3 linked regions of the Drosophila melanogaster genome follow. The protein of the gene in region 1 purifies or fractionates together with the protein of each later gene. This does not show direct contact. Each region holds a gene or a part of one and is shown in the gene's direction. Other genes may lie near its edges. The genes, in order: Hexo2, Syp and U2af50.

What was found.
Region 2: the proteins of Hexo2 (region 1) and Syp purify together in Drosophila melanogaster (affinity purification with western blotting, with the first as the bait; one study listed by BioGRID). This does not show direct contact.
Region 3: the proteins of Hexo2 (region 1) and U2af50 purify together in Drosophila melanogaster (affinity purification with western blotting, with the first as the bait; one study listed by BioGRID). This does not show direct contact.

Annotation. Positions count from the first base shown.
Region 1 is NC_004354.4:8,706,050-8,714,530, forward strand, and holds Hexo2 (hexosaminidase 2), read left to right. Parts: upstream 1-3,602; 5' UTR 3,603-3,759; coding exon 3,760-3,908; intron 3,909-4,525; coding exon 4,526-6,063; intron 6,064-6,133; coding exon 6,134-6,315; 3' UTR 6,316-6,429; downstream 6,430-8,481. Other genes in the region: CG2004 (uncharacterized protein), read right to left, coding at 6,549-7,356, 7,550-8,019.
Region 2 is NT_033777.3:20,785,933-20,793,953, forward strand, and holds the start of Syp (syncrip), read left to right. Parts: upstream 1-4,053; 5' UTR 4,054-4,276; coding exon 4,277-4,400; intron 4,401-5,812; coding exon 5,813-5,931; intron 5,932-6,004; coding exon 6,005-6,317; intron 6,318-6,381; coding exon 6,382-6,623; intron 6,624-7,783; coding exon 7,784-7,919; intron 7,920-8,021.
Region 3 is NC_004354.4:16,354,057-16,360,996, reverse strand, and holds U2af50 (U2 small nuclear riboprotein auxiliary factor 50), read left to right. Parts: upstream 1-2,543; coding exon 2,544-2,589; intron 2,590-2,790; coding exon 2,791-3,354; intron 3,355-3,424; coding exon 3,425-3,513; intron 3,514-3,579; coding exon 3,580-3,702; intron 3,703-3,779; coding exon 3,780-4,241; 3' UTR 4,242-4,301; downstream 4,302-6,940. Other genes in the region: PIG-Q (phosphatidylinositol glycan anchor biosynthesis class Q), read right to left, coding at 1-65, 119-234, 301-377, 433-577, 639-774, 839-947, 1,011-1,657; sl (small wing), read right to left, coding at 6,211-6,940. UniProt on the Drosophila melanogaster protein: Necessary for the splicing of pre-mRNA. Binds to the polypyrimidine tract of introns early during spliceosome assembly.

The DNA of each region.
Region 1 (8,481 bases):
CCATTATATATATTTATTATTTTCTTCATTTTTGATGGCAATTGCATGCTGAGAACTCTCGATATTCGTAACCACCTATACCGCATACCCTGTATACGAAAACCTCGACTATTAGATACCTGCTTATTACGCTTTCAAGAGTCCCATAGGTAAAAATATATATAATTTATATATAATTTACTGAATTTATTAATTTATTTAGTTTACTATACTCTTAGCTTACATTTTTAATAGTCCCTAAATATATTACTCACGAATGAAATAACAATATTTTTAAAAAACAATAAATATTTCGAGAATCCAAGTGCATTCCTTGCAACAAACTCTGATTTAATCGGCCAAAGGACAAAGCCATTTTTGCAATAGCCCCCCGCAGACACAAAACCCAAATTAACTTTTCCTATAACTTTGCATTTCCACACATGCCCAACGCCCAATTTTCCGGCCCACCCCCATTTTGGGAATCATATGACAACCCCCAGGGCCGCTGACCTCAGCCACGCCCCTTTTGCCCAAACCCCTCTTCGGTAGCTGCAACTTTTTGCGCTTGCTTTTTGTTTTGCATTTCCTCTGCTGATTTACTTTTTTTTCCTTTCATTTTATTTTATTTCTTATTTTGTTTTCTTTTTTTTTTCATTTCCAGCTCTTGGTTTTTTGTGTAATTTATTTGCCGTTTTGCTTGTAATTTGTTACAGTTTTTTAATCTTGCATTGTTCTAAGCAGCAGCATCCAGGGGCGTGGCCTATGAGGGGGGCGTGGCACACAAGGGGGGGGGGGTGTGTGGCAGTCAGCGCTGACTGACGCAAACGGAATGAAGAACCTAGCGGCTGACGGACTCGGCACTTGCATCCTGTCCAAAGTCGTGCAGAGAAAACAAAGTTCATATCATTTTTTTAAGATCATAATCATAATCATCATATTTCTAAAATCATCAGGTTCTTGTTTGGTTTTGTTGAGTTGCTATTATAAAGTTAAATGCAAATAATTTATATCCATGAAATGAACTAACAATATTTTCTCTCTGTGCAAAAGGGGCGTGGCCCAGGTGAGGGGAGGAAGAGGCCGCAATGTAATCAACATCATAATCAGTGGCGATGAACCCCCAACCCCCTCCCCCCCCCCATCCATTTGAATGCACTCGAAATAAAAGCCCAATATGTTTACTTTTCATTTCACCTTGAGCACTTAACTTAAGTTAAGACTTAAAATTTATAATATTGTTATTAATCGGATAGCTAGCCATTCGGTTTAGAAAGCTTCAGTAATTCTTTTGACCTTATTTTTCCCAGTGCAGACGCATCTGTGCATCTGCATTGTCCTGGAGCGACAGGAACAGCTGCAGCTCCTCATCATCATAGAGTCTACCGCCTTCCCATATCCATAACCATGTCTACATCCAATCCCCGCAGCCTGCCCCAACTCCTCCTCATCCTCCGCCTGCTGATTTCCATTCAGGACCTGATGTCCGAGTTGGGCAAAACTCATTTGGTCCGCCCACATGTGTGAAATCCTGGGGATGAGCGCGTGAGAAGTGCACATATGAGGTATATATCTTGTTCACTTAAATATAATCAAAATGCGTTTACTATTGTTATTGTTATATAAATATGTTGGAAAGCTAACTTACCAGCTACCTTTAAAAGTGGTGAGTATTCAAAACCTTGTTAGTTTTGAAATATGTATGTGCGTATTCAATAGTTTTGTGGCTTCAATGAAGCACGAAAAAGATAGTGCACGGATTATTTCGAGAAAAGTCGTGGTGAGTTTCGAGATCGTGTTGAATGGTGAGTGAGGGGAATCGTAATGTGCAACTATCGCTTCAGCCAACATCCCCGCATCCATCATCTCAACCGCCCGATTACAGCACTCGCACGTACTCTTTTTAATTATTATAATTTTACATTCTAAACACAGAAACGCACACATGCTCACGGGCAACAACAATGGGCAAAAGAATAAAGAGCGAAGGCGGCGCTATCGCATAATTCAAAATTCATTTCGAAGGCGCACAAAAGGCGCCCATGGAATTAAAATGGAAATGGAATTGGAATTGGAATCCAAGCCAGCGACCACATAATAATACATATTATTAATAAAAGAGAGAGAGAGAGAGAGAGAGATGCATGGGCGCATACAAGAACTAGATGTGCGAATGCCGAATACAATAAAATAATAATCAACAATGCCCAGTCGCACACACAAATAATGTTTTTTATTTCACCATTTTTTTTTTTTTTCATTTGTTTTCAACTTCAAAGCTTTTATCGAAATCATAATGAGGGTGGAACAACAGCGCGTTTCGCGACTAAAATTATGTTCCAGATTAAAACAAGTAGATGTTTTGTAAATAAATTTATTAAGAAAGTGATTAGTTAGTTAGTTGCTTTAGCAATATGTTCACTTCGTTGTTAATTTGAAGTAAAATAAATGTTCTTACTCATATTGCTATGAAATCAGTTTGGCTGAGTGGTACACAAATCAATTTGTCACTGATTTAATTAACTTATTAAGCCAATTAAATGGATTTAAAGTAATGTGCATGCAGAGTTTTTATATGAATGCATTCAAATTTATTACCCAACATTACCCATTTCAACTAAGGGAATACATCTTTTATTTTGCCTTACAGTCACGGCCTCAACTGTACGTGCAACAACATGATAATACAAGACGAATCAAATGCGAAAACTCAACGAAAAATCGACGCAGAAACAAATGATAAATACTAAAAAAGCACAAATATAGTTGTGTATCTTTGGAGGGATAAGACGGTGGTTCCATTCCCCATTGCTGAGTTGTTTATCTATCTACTATAAACAATAATTTTTTGATTATTTGTGTTAACTGAAAATTGATACACCGTTCTATCTTGTTTATAATTAACTGCTGCTTTGTTTACCTCGAGGGTGGAAACTCATTTGAATAATATTTTCGAGATGTATTATTGGAATCTTAAATGTTGCAAGTTCAATTGGCATATACTACATGTATCTACATACTACACATGTGTGTATGTACTTATGTTTAATTAATATGCTGGCTTTCTTAACTGCATTTGTGCCGAAATTTGTGAAGAATTAGGTTGATTTAGTTAAATTCTTTTTGGTGTTTTGCACGCTGGCAGTTTTCAAGCCCACGATTATTGTTGTTGCTGCGGTTCTTGCACCGCATATACATACATACATGCATACATATGTATGTATATATTTTCCATTTTATCACTCACCCCACAACTTCCGTATGTGGGCCACTCTCCAGGGGGTGGGGTTTGCTTCAAAGAGTGGGAGATATGCTGATTTCACAGCACTACACAGGCAGAAAAGACGTGGCACTTCATGCATCAAGTGTCCTGTTAGTATAGGGAAGCTCATTTAATAAAGCTGTAAAATCTAATTGCCAAGCATTAATGTGGAGTAGCAGTGTAATGCAAGGACTTGGCGTTTCTCGCAGTGTAATTTCAATCCGCGCTCTCTCGCGCTCTTGCACTCTCTTCAATTCAATTGACGATAAGCTCGACTTGTTATTGCTGTTGTTGCGGCCGCTACTGCGCTGCAAGTGAAATTTCGCTGGATTTATTTTATTCGCTTTTTCGATTTCAGCTCTTCAGTGTTGTTGTGCTCGGCGAGCGGAGCGGGTGGGCGGCCGGTTGAAAATAGCGAATACACCGTACACACCCCCCTAACACAACAAATATAGCAAATACCGAACAGAAATTATAAAAGCGAGCGGCGCAGCCAAAGAAGCCGTTAGAAAGAAACGATGCGGTTCAGCGGCTACAATCGTTATCAGTGCTTTTGCTCTGCTGTTGGATCGCTGCTGCTATTATCCCTATTATCCTTCGCGGTCGGCGCTGCGCTGACGCGGGCAGATGACGTCGGCAGCGACGCCGACGCCGGCAGCGCCAGCAGGTTTGTGTCTTTGCTTCATAAAGGAAATCAGTGCAACAAGTGCAAGTTTTTTTTTAAATACATGTTTTGTTTTGGAAGTATAACAATTTTTGCTAACAAAATGCAGTGAAAATACAAAAAACTGACTGTTCTTTATTTTCAATGAAATTTCAAGTGTTATATGCGCTCAGCAGACTAGTGAAAAAAAGTCCAAAAAGTCCACTACTTTTAAATATATTAAAGGAAATCTATTCATTCTACAAAAGAGAACTTTAAAAAACTGCCAACGGATAACAAATGGTTGGTGTCTATGCTCAGCAGGATATCCAATATCTCCTCAAATAACTGAGAGCAACAAGTGAAATCAGTCTTAAAAACTAGAAAATAAAACAAACAGAAGAAAACAGGTGAAAATTTAACTGTGCCAAATGCATTTACATGTTAATTTGCATTCGCTCCAAGTGCAATTTTCGTAAAGGGAACAAGTGCAAAAGGCAAAGCGACAGAATAAGAACTACTTTCTATGCAGCTGCATATATTATTGAAAAGAATTTGCAATAAATAAAGTGAAATCTGCTTTATGTATCTAAATATATATGTACTTAGCTTTATTATAGCAATATCTTCCGAATTTCCAGGAAATGGCTGTGCAGCCGGACGGATATCTGCACCGCGGAGGGCGAGATGGTGGCCGGACTGCAGTACGCGCCGGAGATCTTCGAGAGCCAGCGGGATTGCCGACTGTCGTGCGGCAAGTACGGAGCCATCTGGCCCATGCCCACCGGCAAGGAGTGCACCATATCGCACAGGCGGGTACGATTCGATCCGTGGAAGGTGCGTTTCCATGTTGTGGCGCCCGGCGAGGCGGCCACCCAGTTTCTCAGGGAGACGAACCGGCTGTTCGTCTCGAATCTGCTGAAGGAGTGCATACGAAACTGCACGCTGGAGACCAGCAAGCAGATTCTGGTCAGATCCACGGTGGCCAACGAGAGCCTCGTTCTGGACTGGCCCACCGACGAGAGCTACGCCCTGGTGGTGCGAACCACTGAAACGGCCACCTTTGTGGACATCCAAGCGACGACGGTGTACGGTGCACGTCATGCCTTCGAGACGCTGAGCAACCTGGTCACCGGCAGCCTGTCCAATGGCCTGCTGATGGTCACCACGGCCAACATCACCGATCGTCCGGCCTTTTCGCATCGCGGCGTCCTTCTGGATACGGCCCGTAACTTTGTGCCGCTCAAGTTTATACGCAGCACCTTGGATGCGATGGCGGCCAGTAAGCTGAATGTGCTCCACTGGCATGTGGTGGACACGCACAGTTTTCCGCTGGAGATCACCAGGGTGCCGGAGATGCAGCGTTACGGAGCGTACTCCTCATCGCAGACGTACTCGCGCCAGGATGCACTGAATCTTGTGAAATATGCCCGACTGCGGGGCATACGGATACTGATCGAGATCGATGGACCCTCGCATGCGGGCAATGGCTGGCAATGGGGTCCTGCCGCCGGACTGGGCAACATGTCCGTGTGCCTGAATCAATCGCCCTGGAGGAGATTCTGTGTACAGCCACCGTGCGGCCAACTGAATCCCCTGAACGATCATATGTACGCAGTGCTCAAGGAGATCTTCGAGGACGTAGCCGAGGTGGGCGCTCCCGAGGAGACCCTGCACATGGGCGGCGACGAGGTGTTCCTTCCCTGCTGGAATAACACCGACGAGATTCGGGATGGGATGCGGGCACGTGGCTACGATCTCAGCGAGCAGAGCTTCCTGCGGCTGTGGTCGCAATTCCATCAGCGGAACCTCAATGCATGGGACGAGATTAACGAGCGTATGTATCCGGGCATCAAGGAGCCGAAGTCGGTGATCATCTGGTCCAGTCACCTCACCAATCCCCGGTACATCGAGACCTACCTGCCCAAGGAGCGGTTCATAATCCAGACATGGGTGGAGTCACAGGATGCCCTCAATCGGGAGCTATTGCAGCGAGGCTACCGACTGATTGTGTCCACGAAGAATGCCTGGTACCTGGATCACGGCTTCTGGGGCAGCACATCGTACTACAACTGGCGCACCGTGTACTCCAGTGGCATGCCCGTTGGTCGCAGCAAGGATCAGGTTCTCGGCGGTGAGGTGTGCATGTGGAGCGAGTATGTGGATCAGAACTCACTGGGTATGTAAACGCTAGGGAACCAAACGGTGAACCAAACCCATTTAATTAAACCCAATCCAATCCCCTACAGAATCCCGAATCTGGCCGCGAGCTGGAGCAGCAGCCGAGCGAATGTGGTCAAATCCAAAGTCTTCAGCCCTGTTGGCCCAAAGAAGATTCTACCGCTACCGGGAGCGACTCCTGGCGCGCGGAATCCATGCGGATGCAGTTATTCCGCACTGGTGCGTCCTCCACGAAGGACAGTGCCTCTAAATCGGTCGTTCCGAACCTAGTTTTAGCACCAGCACATACCATGTACATACCTTTCAAACTATGTTATTTTATTCATCAGTTATTGCCCATAAAGATCTGTTTTTAATCCAATCCAAAATGTGTTTATAATATGCTTTTAATTATCTGGAGTTACGTTTTGTACATTATATGGGTTACAATTACGAAATACCCAATACTATATGAATTCGATTTTATCATAGAAATTAATGAGCTCACTTAATGTAGCCCTGATCGATGGCGTGCTTGAAGATATCAGCCAGTCGCTGCTGCTTGGCGGACTCCTTGAAGGGTGTGATATTCCAGATGTCGGTGAGAATGGCGTTCTCCTTGATTCCATCCAGATCGGCCACCTCATCGTCCTCCATCATCGTCATCGGCAGCGATTCGATGCCCATGCCGCAACCAAAGCGACCAAAGTTCTTTAGCTCCTCTTGCAGTGATTCCCAGGAGATGATAGACTCTGCATTGCCACCGAGATCCTGAATCAAATCCTGGGCGCTCTCCAGGTAGGCGCGGAGCAGCTCATCGTAGTGCTGTTCCCTCAGCTCCTGGCTAGTGCAGGAATAGATGAAGAAGCTCAGGTCGAGGGCCAAGGAGGAGCACCTGGCCAACTGGAAATCAATGATGATGATCTCCTCCGATTGTCCCCGTTCGTTGTACTTGGTCAGAAAGTTGGGCGTCCAGCAATCGCCGTGCCCGAAGACACTCAACTTGGAGCGAGTGGACACCAGATTGATCAGATCATCGAACAGCGGCGGCTGCAGGAAGTTTGTGGCCACAGTCTCGTATTTGCTATTCGGATAGATCTGCTTGACGGCGTCCGTGGCCACATTCTCCGCCAGCAGGAGGAAGCCCGTGTACCACTCGCGGGTGTGTTCGCCATAGTAGGTCTCCTCCAGCGAACCAGCAGCCTTCTCGAAGTTCTTGCTATCCAGGGCATTGAAGGCCAGGGCCACGCCATGGAAACGACCCAGGGTCCGCATCGTCAGCAGGGCATCTTCCAGCGAAATGTAGTCTTGACTGCAAGGTAAGGTAAGGTAATTGAAGTAAATGTAGTTGTATAATTTATAATCAATAAGGGTTAATGGTATTAATGGTAGATATTGAAATAATCTATTGTATGGGAAGTCGACAGATAGTGTAGTTACACTTATTTATAGAAAGCTGATTTCATACGAAAGGGGTGGAGGAGGAGGAGGAGGAATAAACTAACCGTACAGGTGCCCTGTAGCCCCTGGGACCCACATCCTCCAGGGCGATGAAATCGTTGACGCCATCGCACAGGCTGGCCAGGCAGCGGGGGTACTCCACGAAGGGCTTCTTAGGCGCGGGCTGGCGGGACTTCTGGAATGCCTCGATGGCCGGCAACACCTTGGTGTAGAAGTTGATCTCGTTGCGGAAGAATATCACCGAACGGAAGAGTCGCCGACGGTGCAGATTGTCGGGCATGGCCTTCACGATCACACTGATCTCTAGTTGCTTCTCATCCTGGCCCTCTTCCGCCTCCTTGACGCCGTAGATGGTGATGCGGAAGACACGGCTCAGATAGGCGTCGCCCTTCTTGCCACTTGGGCCAAATTTGTACGAGGTGTGCCGGGTGCCGCCCGCGTTTCGGATGATCTCGTCCAGCGTCGCCTCCGAGAATTTGGCCGAAATGTCCGCGAAGCTGGGAAAGGTGCTCATCGTGGTGGTGTCCAAAGTGTGTCTGTCGCTGCCGGAGATCGCGATCTGCTATTTGTAACGAGTTAAACTATTTCAGCGCGGCGATAACACGGCGTAATCGGTGAAAAACAAAAATAGAAAAAAAGAAAATAGCAATTGGAAAAAAAACGTGAGCAGGCTGCTTGCTGATGCTTGAATACCCTCGCATTTATATGATTATCTTTTTAATTAATTATTAATTAATACTGCCTTAAGAGCTATAGGATATAGACATTAGATCGTTCGGAATGTCTAAGTGATCACACCCTTTGCAAGAGTATCCAAATACAAATAAAAATAAGCGGACAAGTTTGTTTACCGCGTTTTGTTTGGTACACGTCAGCCGCGTCTACGCCTCCGTCGCAGTCGACGTCGCTGCTCTCACTTACCGGCGTTTTTCACACTTTACACACGTGCGTGAGTTTTCGGTGACGTTTATGGTTT
Region 2 (8,021 bases), on another chromosome or scaffold:
GCTAAAATAAAAATGCAAGATACGCCGCTCCCCATTCTATCGTGGATATATATGTTCATACGTTAGCCCCACTATTCCCCCTAGAATCCAATGCAATTGAGCGGCGCCTGCAGCCGGCACTTTTCTAATTCGCCAAACTATGGGGAACCCAGTGGATCTCGTGCCCGGCTATCTCAGCTTAGCTCTTGTCCTACTCGAATTGGCCTGGGGTTTTGTGTCGGATTGCCTCGGTTGGGTGGTTTTGTCGGATCTGTTTGGGTTGGTATGGGTTGGCATGGGTTGGTATGGGGGTCGCGTAGCGCACACAAAAGCGCTTTTCGGTTTACGACTACTCCGTATGGCATTTGTTCTTGCCTCTGACTTTTTGGGCACGTTTTTGCTCGGCTGGAGGATGCTATAAATTTAGTCGAAAAACATGCAAATATATATTTTACATATTTGCTTGAAAAAGGATTGGATAGATTGCTCATAACTTTTGTCTAATTAATGAAAGTGGGAGCCACTCGACAGGCAGCGGCGAGAGTTTACAACATTTGCGAAAACTTCTAAGGGGTGGCAATTTGTATTTGTATTTGCTTTAAAATAGTGGCTTACACGTAGTTATACTTCGCAATAGGTAATCAACATCTGTAGAATGTATTGTCGACGAACTTTGTTATAAACCAGGGTATCCCGAATTTCAATCCCCAAAACTGGCTTTATTTGTGTGTGCTTTTTTTTCTGCAACTACTAAAGTTGGCTTTCCACTTTCTACAACTCTAGCTCCGACATCGACTCCTGGGGGCATCTTTGGCAGCCATAAAAAAGCATGCCATTTTCCTCTCTGGCAAACTTTTGTGTAATTTTCATTTTGTGCTTGTCGCGTGCCTCCTATTTCTCCAACTCGCCCAGTCCCAGCCCACTTCCTTCCATGAGCCGGTGGCTTTATGTACTGTTGCAGGAACGTCGTACCTTGTTTTTTTACTACATATTTTTGGCAGTTGCACAGCGCAAATACCCACGGACACGGATAGACACAATGCCTCAGTCTGAGCAACTGTTTGTACATACTGTCCGTACTGTCCGTCCGTTCGTTTGTCCGTCTGTCCGTTGTTGTCGCTGCCGCAATGCAGTGAATTCGGCAGGACCCCAAAGTTTTGGCCTGGCCAACACGTGACTGACCTCCTCGAATGGGATGACTTTCTGGGGTCACGGGATGTTGGGCGCCATTTTCATTTGTTGATGCGGCCGGGCAGCTTCCCTGCACTTTTGCGGCCACAAAATGTGAGCATCAAATATTGAAAACACTTCTCCGGCCCCGGGGCTGCACAGTTTATGACCGTGGCTGTGGGACCCCAGTGACGTGGCCAAAAAGAGCTTTTTTGGCAGATATTGCAACGACCAACCCGCCTGATTGGTTTCTTGGCAACAAAACCCCACTGAACTGCCACGAACTTGTTTCTGTTTACTGAAATAAACCCGACTTGCAACTTATTGCCATGTTATCTTTGATTTTGGCATCGGGTCCTAAAGAATATGGTGTTCGCTGCAGCCCGGCCACGTGACTATATTAAAGAGCTTGGGATGAATTTGTTTAAATGTTGATAAGATATAGAAAAACAAAAATTATCTGATGGAGGTAAATAAAAGCAGGGGAATAACCTTAAATAGAGACAACCTCCTACGTAACACACATCTTAACGTAAGGGTATGATAGGAATTTCTTTGAAGAAAATTTACGATATTCCTTTTGTATTAAATTTGAATGTTTTCGCCAATGCATTTAAATAGATATGATTGAAAATAGTTGGAAATCTGTAATTAAAAGTAGAAATCTCTTTTCCCAGCGCCTAAAAGCAGGCCGACATCCCTGTTTACACCAGTGCCGAAAAGTAGGCAGCAAATCCTTCGGATTGCACTTTAAATGAAGGTCCTTCAAATATTTCATTAAACTTCTTCTGTAACCCCCCATAAATTACAACAATTTTCATTCATTTAATATTCACCTAAGGCCGGATAGCCATCCTTTCTTCCCTGCAATCTTCACCGTTGTCTGCCGCCTGCAAGGCGCTTCCATCTAATTTGCTTGGTTCGCCTGCACTTTGCAGGGAATTTGTTCGTTGTCGCAATGCCATAAATTGTGCAACTTATGCGGCCAACTGGCCGCCTTCTCTAATACCCCATCCCATCAACCCCCTTGTGGGGCTATAAATTACAAGAAGGCATTTGCCACACTTCCGTTTGGGGGCCTTCATTCAGGTCTGCTGCACTGTCTGCACTTTTCACTTCGGCTAGTCTGGAGTTATTTTTGTGCCTTAAATCGGCTTAACTGGCCTGGCCGGCGGAGTTGTAGTTGCGGCTCAGCTGGGCCCGAAGGGTTCTGAAAATCAATAACCCCCAGCAAGGTTGTGCTATAGAGAGCCCCATTGTTGTCGCCGTTGTCCATGGCAATAACATTTAAATGGCTAGGGCTTCTTGAAATTCAAATTGCGAAAGCACAAACTTTAACACTTCCTCAATGCCACGGCGAGCAACCCCTGGACTATAGCCAGCCGCCACCATCCTAAAGATACTCATAGTTTCTGCAGTCTACAGTCAGTCTGGCTTCGGTTGACAGAAACAGGGGCGGAGTTGCCAATTTGCCATTGGGGAGATCTTGTAATTCTAGACCAGACTGCTGCCGGCGGCGACGTATTGTCTGGCAGACGGACGCGAGTGACGAACAAATGTGGCAAAACGATTTATTTGGCTTTATCAGCAATTTTTGATTCTCCTTTGTCTCCCATTGAAAAAGCGCCGCATTAAGTGCTCCGCCTGCGTTTGCGGCGATTTGTCATATCGCTGATTTACTAACCTTACACCAGGCATTATCTCTTGGCAAAGGAGGCCGAATCCGAATCCGAGTCCGGAATGGCGGGGGAGAGGTGGAATCCGGGGCGAATCACCCCTGCTAGCAGCTAGAGGGTGACTTTTTCTGTTTTTTTTTTTTTTTTTTTTATACAACCGAGGGTGTAACTAACCGACACAAGTGCAAGAAGGCAGGATATGCCAGGATATGCATGTGTGTATGTATGGCTGGCTGTGTATGTTTGCGCATATCGCCGGCATCAACATCAAATTTATTGAGGTAGTTGCCAAGCGGCTCTGGCAAACAAAACGAGCATGCAAAAAGGAATGTTCTTTAACATGCAAACGTTTCTTTGTTTTTCCCCCATTTTAGCCGTGCTTCTATTTTTTCTGTACGAGTATATGCATGGGACAGAGTTGCCACCGCTGGGGCAAACAAGCGGCGACTACCCTGTTGCCATAACAAACATGCATAAAAAATGATGACTCGGGCTGGAAAAAAAAAGCACACACACAGTCCGGCAAGTGTTGCAAATTGAAAGCGGTTTTAGGCCAGGAGCCGTCACCTGAATAGCTTTGAGTTCGGGAGACCCAAGAATAAAGACTTAAATTGGCTGTGGTATGTGGCCAGTCATCCTGTTTTTTTTTTTGTTCAGTATGCACTTCCATATGCCATAGAAGCATTAGCATGGCAACTCAGCGTATAAGGAATACCATTTTATCGATATTTCACTGCAATCCTAATGGAATTTCCTGCATTGTTGTCTACTCCTTTCGACTGGCTCAATATCCATTGCCCATGTGTTTATTATTCATTTACTCGCTGTGCGCCGATAAAGCGCTTTTCCTGATTTTCCCGCCTTTCTCGCATCGCCAGCGCAACTTCATGACGCTCCCCCGGTGTTTGCCCTTTTGTGGGCTTCCCTGCGGTTGTCGCCAACACTTTTCACTTACAGCTCGCTGCGTTTTCGCGCCCAACAATCTAGATATACATACATGCATATAAATACATAGTATTTATGTGTTGGAGGGGCCTAGATAATGGGATATGTTTTTGTTGTTACTGGTTGACTGGTTCCGCTTATTGTTATAGTTGTCATAGCGCACATGGCATTCTGATGGCCCCACTGCAGTTGTCATAAATTTGTGGTCTTAATACTTGCACCACACCATTTTCAGGATTGCCACCTCAACAAAGTGGGTTCGGTTCGGTAACCCTTTCTAAATATCGATGCGTAGTTGGCCCTGCTGGGCGATTGTCAAAAGTTATTCCGTAATGTTTTTTGTTTCTATTCAGTTGTGAAAATTTTTCTCGTCTCTCGAATCGTTTCGGAACTATTGATTTTTACTTCAAAAATAAGAAAAAGCGAAAACAAATTCATTCACATTTGCAATCGAAATTCCAAGTCGCCTAAGGAAATTGAAAATTGTTAAATTGTTGCATTACGCGATGCTTTCCCAGATGGAAGCCTCCAAAGTGCAGAAGGATGAAGGGGGCGGCGAGGCTCTGAGCCGCACGATCCTCAAAACACCGTCTTCATTCAGGACCCCCAGCCCAATTCCCAGTTGCAGCAGTGAGTATTCCACGCCGCTGCAAAACACCCAATTGCCCCCGATATCAATCGCAAAGTATTTCAATGTCAGCGAAAACGAATCGAATGCCGGAGAATTAATGCGAAATTCGCAGAATGCCAGTGGAGAGAGCAGCAACAAACAGAAAAGATTTTAGAAATGTTCGGGTTTGCCCATAATTTTTGTGGGTCGCGCTCTATCGCTGGTTTGGCTCTCCCATTCTTGAACGATAGAGCTAGCTGATATTGCTGCTGTTTTTTTTTGTTTTTGTTTTTTTTTTTTTGCACATGTTACGCAATTATCGCTCTCGGCTAGTTGGGGTCCCTCGTTTTTATTTTTGCAGCTTGCTTCGTTTTTGTTTGAACGTCAAACACACACAACTTTCTATATGTATGTATGTACATACACATCGTACATATATATAATATACATACGAATATACGTGTACACGCGAATCAAAATAGCATTTGCTGATAGTGTGGCTGCTAAGGTAGCTTTCTATGCTGCGGCCTGTATAGGTGAGCGTTTGCCACTTGACAACTGTGGAACATTTGCATTTTCATTATGAGTGTGCCATAAATATTCATTTATGATAAATGCCTGTGTGCAGCTGCGGCTGCAATTGCAACGAAAGCGAACAGCTCTTGTTTCCGCAGCTCAACTGAATTTAGCCACGGAACAGATCATAAATAAATGTATTAGGCTGATTTAACATAGCAAATCACGTATACTACTACTTTTAGTCAATAAAACTACTAATACTAATCCAAGTCTAAAGTCCAGTAGCTTCAAACACGGCAAAAAGTGAACCCACTAGATTCATCAGCTGTTACCAGGGCAACTAATACGTCACGCTCTTGTGAGCGTGGCCGAACACATCGCGTATACGCAACACGTCACGCACAATTCGCAAATCGCGCCTCTTTTCGTTTGTTTACATTTTGGCCAATACGTTTTCATGCGGCTCCCTCTTTCTCTTCTCGTTTGCCTTTCTCCTTCTCTTGCCTTTCTCACGCACTTTTCGGTGCTCGGATGCGCGCTCTTCTGGATCGCAAATTTGTGCGTTTCGCATTTGTTTGGAGTCAATGAACTTTGTTGCTCGCTTTGTTGTCTCCTCTCTCTCCCATGCTCCCTGCTTTATCGCACTCCCCGTTTATCTCATTCCGCGAGTGCGTGCGACGGTGCGTAAGTTGCCAATTTTTCGTATTTCTCGTATTTCGCACATTCTCGCGACCCATTTTTTACCAAGCGCTCGCCGTTTGTGGCTATTTTGCGTTCGTTGAACTCTACAAGGTGATTTTATAGGTCGCACAATTTGTGGGTGCTCACTTGAATGTATGTTTCAAGAATATTAATATTTATGTATAAATACTCAATATATATTTATAACATTTTATTATCGTTGCACTTGCAGAAATGGCGGAAGGTAATGGCGAACTGTTGGATGACATTAACCAGAAAGCCGATGACCGTGGCGATGGCGAGCGTACAGAGGATTATCCCAAGCTGCTGGAATACGGTCTGGACAAGAAGGTGAGTGCTTTGAGAACCCAACACCACATGCCAACTATTACCAACATTTGCCACATGCAACATATGCTCCTAGGTCGCCGGCAAACTGGATGAGATCTACAAAACCGGCAAGTTGGCTCACGCCGAGCTGGACGAGCGCGCCCTGGACGCGCTCAAGGAGTTTCCCGTCGATGGTGCCTTGAATGTGTTGGGACAGTTCCTGGAATCGAACCTGGAGCACGTGTCAAACAAGTCCGCCTACCTATGCGGCGTGATGAAGACGTACCGACAGAAGAGTCGAGCCAGCCAACAGGGCGTGGCCGCGCCCGCAACTGTCAAAGGTCCCGACGAGGACAAGATCAAGAAAATCCTCGAGCGCACCGGCTACACATTAGATGTGACGACAGGTGAGAAACATTTTCAAGTACTGGAGAAACTTTTATCTAATACTATTACTTATACCGTACTCAGGTCAGCGTAAATACGGCGGACCGCCGCCGCATTGGGAGGGAAATGTGCCAGGCAACGGTTGCGAGGTTTTCTGCGGCAAGATACCCAAGGACATGTACGAGGACGAACTGATTCCGCTATTCGAGAACTGCGGCATAATCTGGGACCTACGACTCATGATGGACCCGATGACGGGCACAAATCGTGGTTATGCATTTGTCACATTCACAAATCGCGAAGCGGCCGTCAATGCAGTGCGACAGGTATTTAAGCCAACCACAGATCATCCATACCACCAACCACCAGTCCAGCCCAGCCCAGCCCACCTGAAAACCCAGTCTCCCCAATGAAAACCCCACCCCATCCGACCCTGACCACCAAATCAGTTTGATCCCCGCTTCAATGTTTTTACGTATTGCTAACTCTTAAGACCTATACAAATATCCTATATATATACATATTTAACGTATTGTATCCACATATTTACTATCGTGTTATAACACATCGGATGAAGTAGGAACAGTTATGCGGCCAAAGCAAAATTCAAATATTTGAAATTCTCCACAGCAAGAGCGAAAAATTACCGATTTGATCACAACCGATTTGGCGCTTTTAGATCCGACCATGAGAAATTCTGCAATTCCATTTAGTTTTTAACGTATGCTTACTTTACCTCTCTGCCTTTGCTATTAAGAATTCGAACTATGGGCAACGCTATCTGTCTCACTCTCTCGCTGTCTCTCTCTACTTGATCTTTCTGTAACTTATGTAATGCATGTCCCGTCTCCTATGAGTTGTAATCTTGATTTACGCAAACGAATCTCTACAGCGCCCTAAAATCGTTCAAATTGCAAGTTTGAAAAGAGTTCTCTCCTCTTCGAATAAAAGATTTGGCCTCCTCCCTGATAAATCACACAACCCCCTACCCTCCTCTCTCTCTCTATCGTCTCTATATCTGTTCTACTTCCTTTTTAGTTGAATTTTCTCTTGTCTTAAGCTCAGCTATGTAGCTATCAACTTTTGTAGACAACTTAGCAGCGTACGTTCAAAAATCTCACTGTCTGGTTTTATTTAGACGAGCATGACCAAAAATCTAGACCATGATATTGGGAGGCAAGACACGTTGCCTCCATATATCACCTGCCCTAACCAGTTAACCACTAACAAAATGTTTTTCCTTTAACATTTCCAAAACGACACTCAACCGAAATTCAGACCACGCGGCCCGCTTCAAAATTGGTAACGAAAACGATAAGATTTACAAATCCGTATATTATTATTTAACCCATTCCCCTGTTCTTATCTACCTTATTTGCCTTAGTTCAAAATTATTTACTTGTTATGATTTTATTATTTATTTATTTATTATTAACATTGAATTGGTATTAAAACGAATCGTTTTACCTTCCCTCCCACAATTTAGCTCGATAATCACGAAATAAAACCCGGCAAGTGTCTAAAAATAAATATAAGCGTACCGAATCTGCGCCTTTTCGTAGGCAATATTCCCAAGTCAAAGGGCAAAGATGAAATTTTAGAGGAATTTGGTAAACTTACAGGTAAATTGACAAACACAAAATTAACCAAAACTGTATTTTAAATTACCAACACTGGAGCTGCTATCCGCCACTCCGCAATCGGCACTAAATTGTAAACAAAAA
Region 3 (6,940 bases), 7.6 Mb from region 1:
AGATACATCAGTTTTCTTCGCAAAAAATGAAAGACACTTAGAGTAGCAAATGTGAGCGCCTTCAGCTATAAAGAAAGTTGTATTATTGCGAAATTCAACGATTATATATTAAACTTACAGCAGCAAAAACTATATAGTAGACAAGGGTAGTGGGTAACAAAAACAGAATAGCCGAGAAAAATATGGTAGCTAGATATAATTGCCGATTCATATAGTTGTGGGACTCAGTGCGACCTGAAAAGTATAAGAATTGGTAAAACTTAACATAGTGCTTAGATTGGCAAAAACCTTAAAACATACCTTTTAAAATGTTGTAACGATTGCCTCGAACCACTTGCCATAGAACAGAAAGACCTCTTCTTTCCACATTGTAGAGGCTATGAAAATAATATTATTGTTTGAAAGCGGTCAATATATATTGCAGAAACTTACACTTTGGTATAAATATAGAAGCAATGTGAATGTAAGCCAATAACGGATATTAAGTCCACTAGTAAGGCTATCTGGAATGTAAAACCCAAGCATCCAATCATTCCAATGGCCAAGAAAACTTGTCGTACTAAAGGTTCAATGAAATCTGTAGTAAGAGAACAATGTTATCAATCTTATCATGCATTTAAGTAGACCCAAAAGCTTACCCAAAAATGTTGACCACAGCTCAATATGATATTTGAAGCAGTCGAGAAAGAAATTATTTAAATGTATATTTAGCTTGAGGCCAATGGGACTGCCCTCTAATACTTTCAACAGGCCGTACAATTCGTCAATAACGTACTACAATAGATAAGCAATAAGTTAATGTCACATATGTAAAATCAAATTTGTATGGCGGACATACATGAGATATTTGTATTAGAAAATCACCAGGCTGTGTGGCAAGCGTAAATAGTATTAGCATCAATATAATCCCCAGTATTCTATCAAGAACTATATTAGCCGGTCGAGATCTGCTTGATAGAAACTAAGTAATAGTAATATGATATTTAGCATCATCGATTTAACCCAACTACCTTTTATCACATGCTGTCTGCCATTCCTTGAAATGCTTATAAATAGTTGTGTGAACCATAATGCTGTTGATAAATACATTTTCCGCCATATATTCGAATATCTTAATTGGAGAATCGGCAATGAGTGTTAAGCCATATTGGATACTCTTGTTGGCATTATTGTTTGCCTTGTTTTGGTTGTCAGCAGTTGGTTGATTCAGTCTAGAGAGCTCCAGAAAGTCGCAATCGGTGCTATCATTATCATTGTATTCCAAAGATCGCCTATTTTCAGATTCACCAGATACGAACAGATTTCGTACCATTTGCTTGTCGTAGAGAATCACTTTAATGTGCTTCAGATATTCGGGCGTAATGCCCAAATAAACCAGTGTTATATTCGCCTGACTGCTATTGTATGTGAAACACAATCGCATATTGAACTTAAGAAATTGGTTCTGGTCCGCATTGAAATCCTCGTTGAGAATAGAGCCCAGGAAACGCAGATTGCCCTTTTCATGATTTATGGCCTTGTCACTGAACTCCAAATCTGATGCTTCCAGCACGTAATACGATACGACATTATCTTCATTTATTTGCACTTGGCCGTACAAATTGGTTGACTTATTGAGGTAATAATAGTTGACCGGTAAATATATCTTAATGCTCATAATATAATCGATTAACTGACAAAAACACCGGTATTTCTTCTCTCAATCAAAACAAAACAAATACAGCATGCTTGAGAAGGTGGTATACAATTGAGTGTGACGTCACCGTTTGTTGATTAACAAACTAGGGAGTACAGAATAGTTGCAGAATCGTATATGTCAGATGTCGCTTAAGCGTGTATTTTTATGTATGTATGTATATTATTATTATTATATTATTATGTATGATTATGTATAATAATTTATATAAATATTTTGCAGTAATGGACACCCTACAAGTGAAATTTATGTCGATAAATCGTTCAACGACACTTCGAAACTGCCAGTGTCGCACTGTTAGCCCTCGGCTATCGGTGGTCCATTCCATTGTTTCTCAGTTTTCACGTGTTCTTTTTTAAGTCGTTTCTTTTATATTTGCGTTAATATACGCAATAGAGGGACACATTTTTCTTCGGCATTTTAAAGAGTTAAAATTGTTTTCGTGTTAAGAAATATTAATTTTATTTAGCAACAAGAATGGGATATGATGGTGAGTTCAATGAAGAGAGCAAGTAAAGGGCCGCACTGAATTTGATGCCCAAGTGTGCATAAATAGATGTTTATGTATATATATGTATGCATACATACATACAACTATAAATGTATGCAAAGAAAGTGAAAAATGTGCAACTGAATTTGTTTATCGCGGCAACGCAGCCTGCTCCTTGTTTCATTTTTTTTTATATGTAAAAAAGGTCTGTTGAATTAGGGTTTTGTTAATAATCGCATTCATTCTAGACCGGTTGTTTTTTTTTCTATTTCGATGTTTCGCTCATTCATACATTCATACATACGTACATACGTTGAGTTTTGAGTCTATTTTTAATAGAATACAGTGCATTTCGGGATGGAAATGAATTTTGAAGATAAATATGTGAATATCGACAATAAAGGCGAGTTCTTATGACCATAAATGCTTCTAACCATACACCATACACCGAAATGTGTCCTTGTTCATGGCTTACATATGCGCGTGTGCCCGTGTGTATGGCTAAATTTGTGTGCTCTTCCTGGGTGAGGTGGACAGGGACGGGACACATTTGCGAAAATAGCGATTGGAGAATCAACATATTTAATTCCTATCGTATTTGCAGACCGTGAACGCGATCGCGAGAGACGCCGACATCGTTCCCGCTCTCGGGACCGCCATCGCGAACGCTCCAGGGATCGACGCCATCACCGGAACTCGAGGCGCAAGCCGTCGCTTTATTGGGATGTACCGCCGCCGGGATTCGAGCACATCACCCCGATGCAATACAAAGCCATGCAGGCGTCCGGACAAATCCCGGCAAGCGTTGTGCCGGATACACCACAAACGGCAGTGCCCGTGGTCGGATCGACAATTACCCGACAGGCGCGTCGCCTGTACGTTGGCAACATTCCGTTTGGCGTCACCGAGGAGGAAATGATGGAGTTCTTCAACCAACAGATGCATTTAGTTGGGCTCGCCCAGGCGGCCGGCAGTCCCGTCTTGGCATGCCAAATTAACTTGGACAAAAACTTTGCTTTCCTCGAATTCCGATCGATTGATGAAACCACCCAGGCCATGGCATTCGATGGCATCAATTTGAAGGGGCAGAGCTTAAAGATTAGGCGTCCGCACGATTACCAGCCCATGCCGGGTATAACAGATACGCCGGCAATTAAGCCCGCTGTTGGTAAGTAAACAAATATCCTAATTTTCATTGGCACACGGTCTAATCAAATAACCACCATTCCACATTCCAGTTTCCAGTGGAGTTATTTCGACAGTGGTTCCGGACTCGCCTCACAAAATCTTCATCGGAGGTCTACCAAACTATCTGAATGACGATCAGGTTGGTTCAACATTGAAACGTTTCCATTCGAATTCTCATAAACATTTGTATCTTCTGCTGCTGTAGGTTAAGGAACTGCTTTTGTCGTTTGGCAAGCTACGAGCCTTCAACCTGGTTAAGGATGCCGCTACTGGGTTGAGTAAGGGTTATGCTTTCTGTGAATATGTCGATCTTAGCATCACAGATCAGGTACGAAACTACTTCAAAATTGCAAACAAACACAATCTTAACTCTAACTCTCTTTCGATTCCTAATAAAATTTGTAGTCGATTGCTGGCCTAAATGGAATGCAGCTGGGTGACAAAAAACTGATTGTCCAACGAGCCAGTGTGGGCGCCAAGAATGCCCAGAACGCGGCCAACACCACGCAGTCCGTAATGCTCCAAGTGCCGGGCCTGTCCAATGTGGTGACCTCTGGACCGCCGACTGAGGTTCTTTGCTTGCTCAACATGGTCACGCCCGATGAACTGCGGGACGAGGAGGAGTACGAGGACATCTTGGAGGACATCAAGGAGGAGTGCACGAAATACGGAGTCGTGCGGAGCGTGGAAATTCCACGTCCCATCGAGGGCGTCGAAGTTCCCGGTTGCGGCAAGGTCTTTGTCGAATTCAACTCGGTTCTCGACTGTCAGAAGGCGCAGCAAGCACTTACTGGACGTAAATTCAGCGACCGCGTTGTGGTCACATCATATTTCGATCCCGACAAATACCACAGACGCGAGTTTTAGATACAAGTAAATCATATATCTCACATTCACCATTTGTCCAATAAATATCAGAATAAAAGTAAAATTTTGACTACGAAAATACGAAGATACCATGAAATAGAAAGGGATAGTCGCTTATTTCATTGTGAGCCGGAAGTTGGAAACGAAAACTCCAAATGCTTCTAATGGGTTGAAACTGTACGTGAGTTTAAGGGTATATAACATAACTACTTCATTCGGTGGCTTCCTCAATTCTCAGAAATCCAACATATAGAAACAACTTTGTATATATATAGACAGCTAACGCCGGATAAACATTTATTTGGCATTAAATAATTATGAATGTATACGTATGGTGTGTGTTTACTGAATTATAAGGCAATTACAAAAACAGTTGAAAATATCTATTAGACGTACAGATACAAATCACTTAAAAACGGAACGTACAAATGAAATACATTTTGGGTACATATACACATACATATATACTAAGCATGATTTGCTAATGCGCTCAAACGCGCAAAATGTCCAAATTAGAACTATTGTGCGAATGGAAACAGCAGAATGTTTGTTAAATAATTAAATGCGAGTGCAAGACAAATGATATCGATCGTTTCAGTGGGGCATTCGTATGGAATGCAAATAGTTTCAGATTAAAATCCTAAATGATTCGCATAGGGAGCACAATTTCCACTTCTTAAATCGACTAGTGCATTTTATGAATATCTAGATATATAAATTATATAATGCATTTAGTAATAATACGTCTATTGAACTTAGGCTTTAGATATTTAGATTTCGCAGTTTAGAGAAGAAGCTAAGTTAGAACTTTGATTTTATAAAAAATAGATATCTTTGAGCTATATTATTATTTTTCAAATATTTGTTATTTTAGCAACAGGTGTACTTCAATAGTTAACGTTCAAACATTTAAAATTTCGATCATTTCGAATTTTAAGGCACGTTCATTTAAATGTAATTGAATAATTACATTTTATTTTAATATTGTTTGCAAACTTTTAGTTTTTGTAACATTAGCTACAACAATCGTGGTTAAATAACATAGACACAATTATGTGGTATATCGTAATTGTTAAACAACTGGAAGACATATGTAATCAAAGTGGTTTAAATTTCCTTTGCCCTTTTTTTTTTATAAATTGTATTATTACTTTAAGCTTTAAAAGAGAAAATAAAAAAGGTAAATGCTAAATGATTGAAATGCTGTTTGAGTATTTGTGCTAAGAGAAAGGTCTAAAATAGTTTTCCAGATAACATATGAAAGTGGTCTATTTTCTTCAGTTAAAAGTCTTTAAGAAGATTGTAATATAATACTTATGAAAAGCTGATCCTGAAACTGAATATCAAATGCCCATTAAATTGATGCCAATTGAGCTGTTTATGAATTGTTTCTATTTCTAATTTTGGAATCAACTTAATGTACTTAACTTTTGATGGTAAAACTGGTAAAATGGAAATAGCTCAAGTTCCCTAAATCGAAATCAAATCAAATCTGGTTTGCTTATGCTTATAATGAGGTGACGAATAGTTAAAACATATTCGTATCATTCTATTCTCCTGAATCAATCTCACGCACAAATACAACATTTAGAGGACAACAGACTTGAATGCTTAGTGTTATGGAAAAGTGTACAAATTATACGGATTACATAAACTTGATTTCAGTTCCAGGAGTTCAGAATTCATTGTTACCATTTGAATACTCATTGTATAGTATGAACTAACCATAACTGCTGATGTGTATAGAAAGTAATCTAAATCTAAATCATACGTTTCAGATCCTAAGCTTTTTAGACAAATTACAAGTGAGAGAATCAGGTTCATAGTTCGATGAAATGTTCTTATGTACAAGTTGTTGATAAATTGCTTTTGCGAATTAAGTTCGCTTTCCTTTTGATCTAGCGCAATTGTTTTCGCAAACACTCGATTTGGAATCATTGATATTGATCCAGCTAACTCAGCAATCCTCTTACGGTGCGGTAACATTTGCTATCTTAATGTTGATCAGCAGGGACGATAATTCCAGCTCCTCGCTGAACTTATTTCGTAGGATGACGCTGCGATAGCCCTGGCGAATGCAGGTCAGCGGATAGCACGCCTGGGCGATGAAGTGCGTCTCGGCGAACATATCCTCGTCCTGCACTTCGAAGCGAAGGATCGCAAACTGTGGATTACGCACGTTAAACTCGCACGATTCATTCCACACCGGATTGAAACCATTTTCATTGACTTTGGTGCGATACTTAACGCCCGTATCAAAGCTAGCGCCAATCAATTCGACCACGATCTGCGGATTGTTCGATTTGCCGCCCCGGAATAGATGACGTGCGGCTATCAGACGTATGCTAACTTTAACTTCGCTTAGGCCATCGCACAGCGGATTGTTCGGATTGAAGCTGTCAGATTTCATGAACGATGGCTTTAAGATATAGCCACATTGTCCATTATTCCGAAACTTGGCCTGATTCAGCTGCATGGCCTTATCGCCTGTCTGATAGTTCAGTGCGATCATCTGGGATCCAACATTCCAGAATGGCATGGGATTAAAATTCGACGAGTCCAGGCGCTGACCCTTCGGATACACTCGGCTAATCTGATTGCGATGGTAGGAGAGAAACAGTTGTGTGTTCTGCTGGAAGAACTGCTTTTCGGCCTTCGTTTCGGGGAAACTCGACATTTCCTGAAATATCCACGAGTGC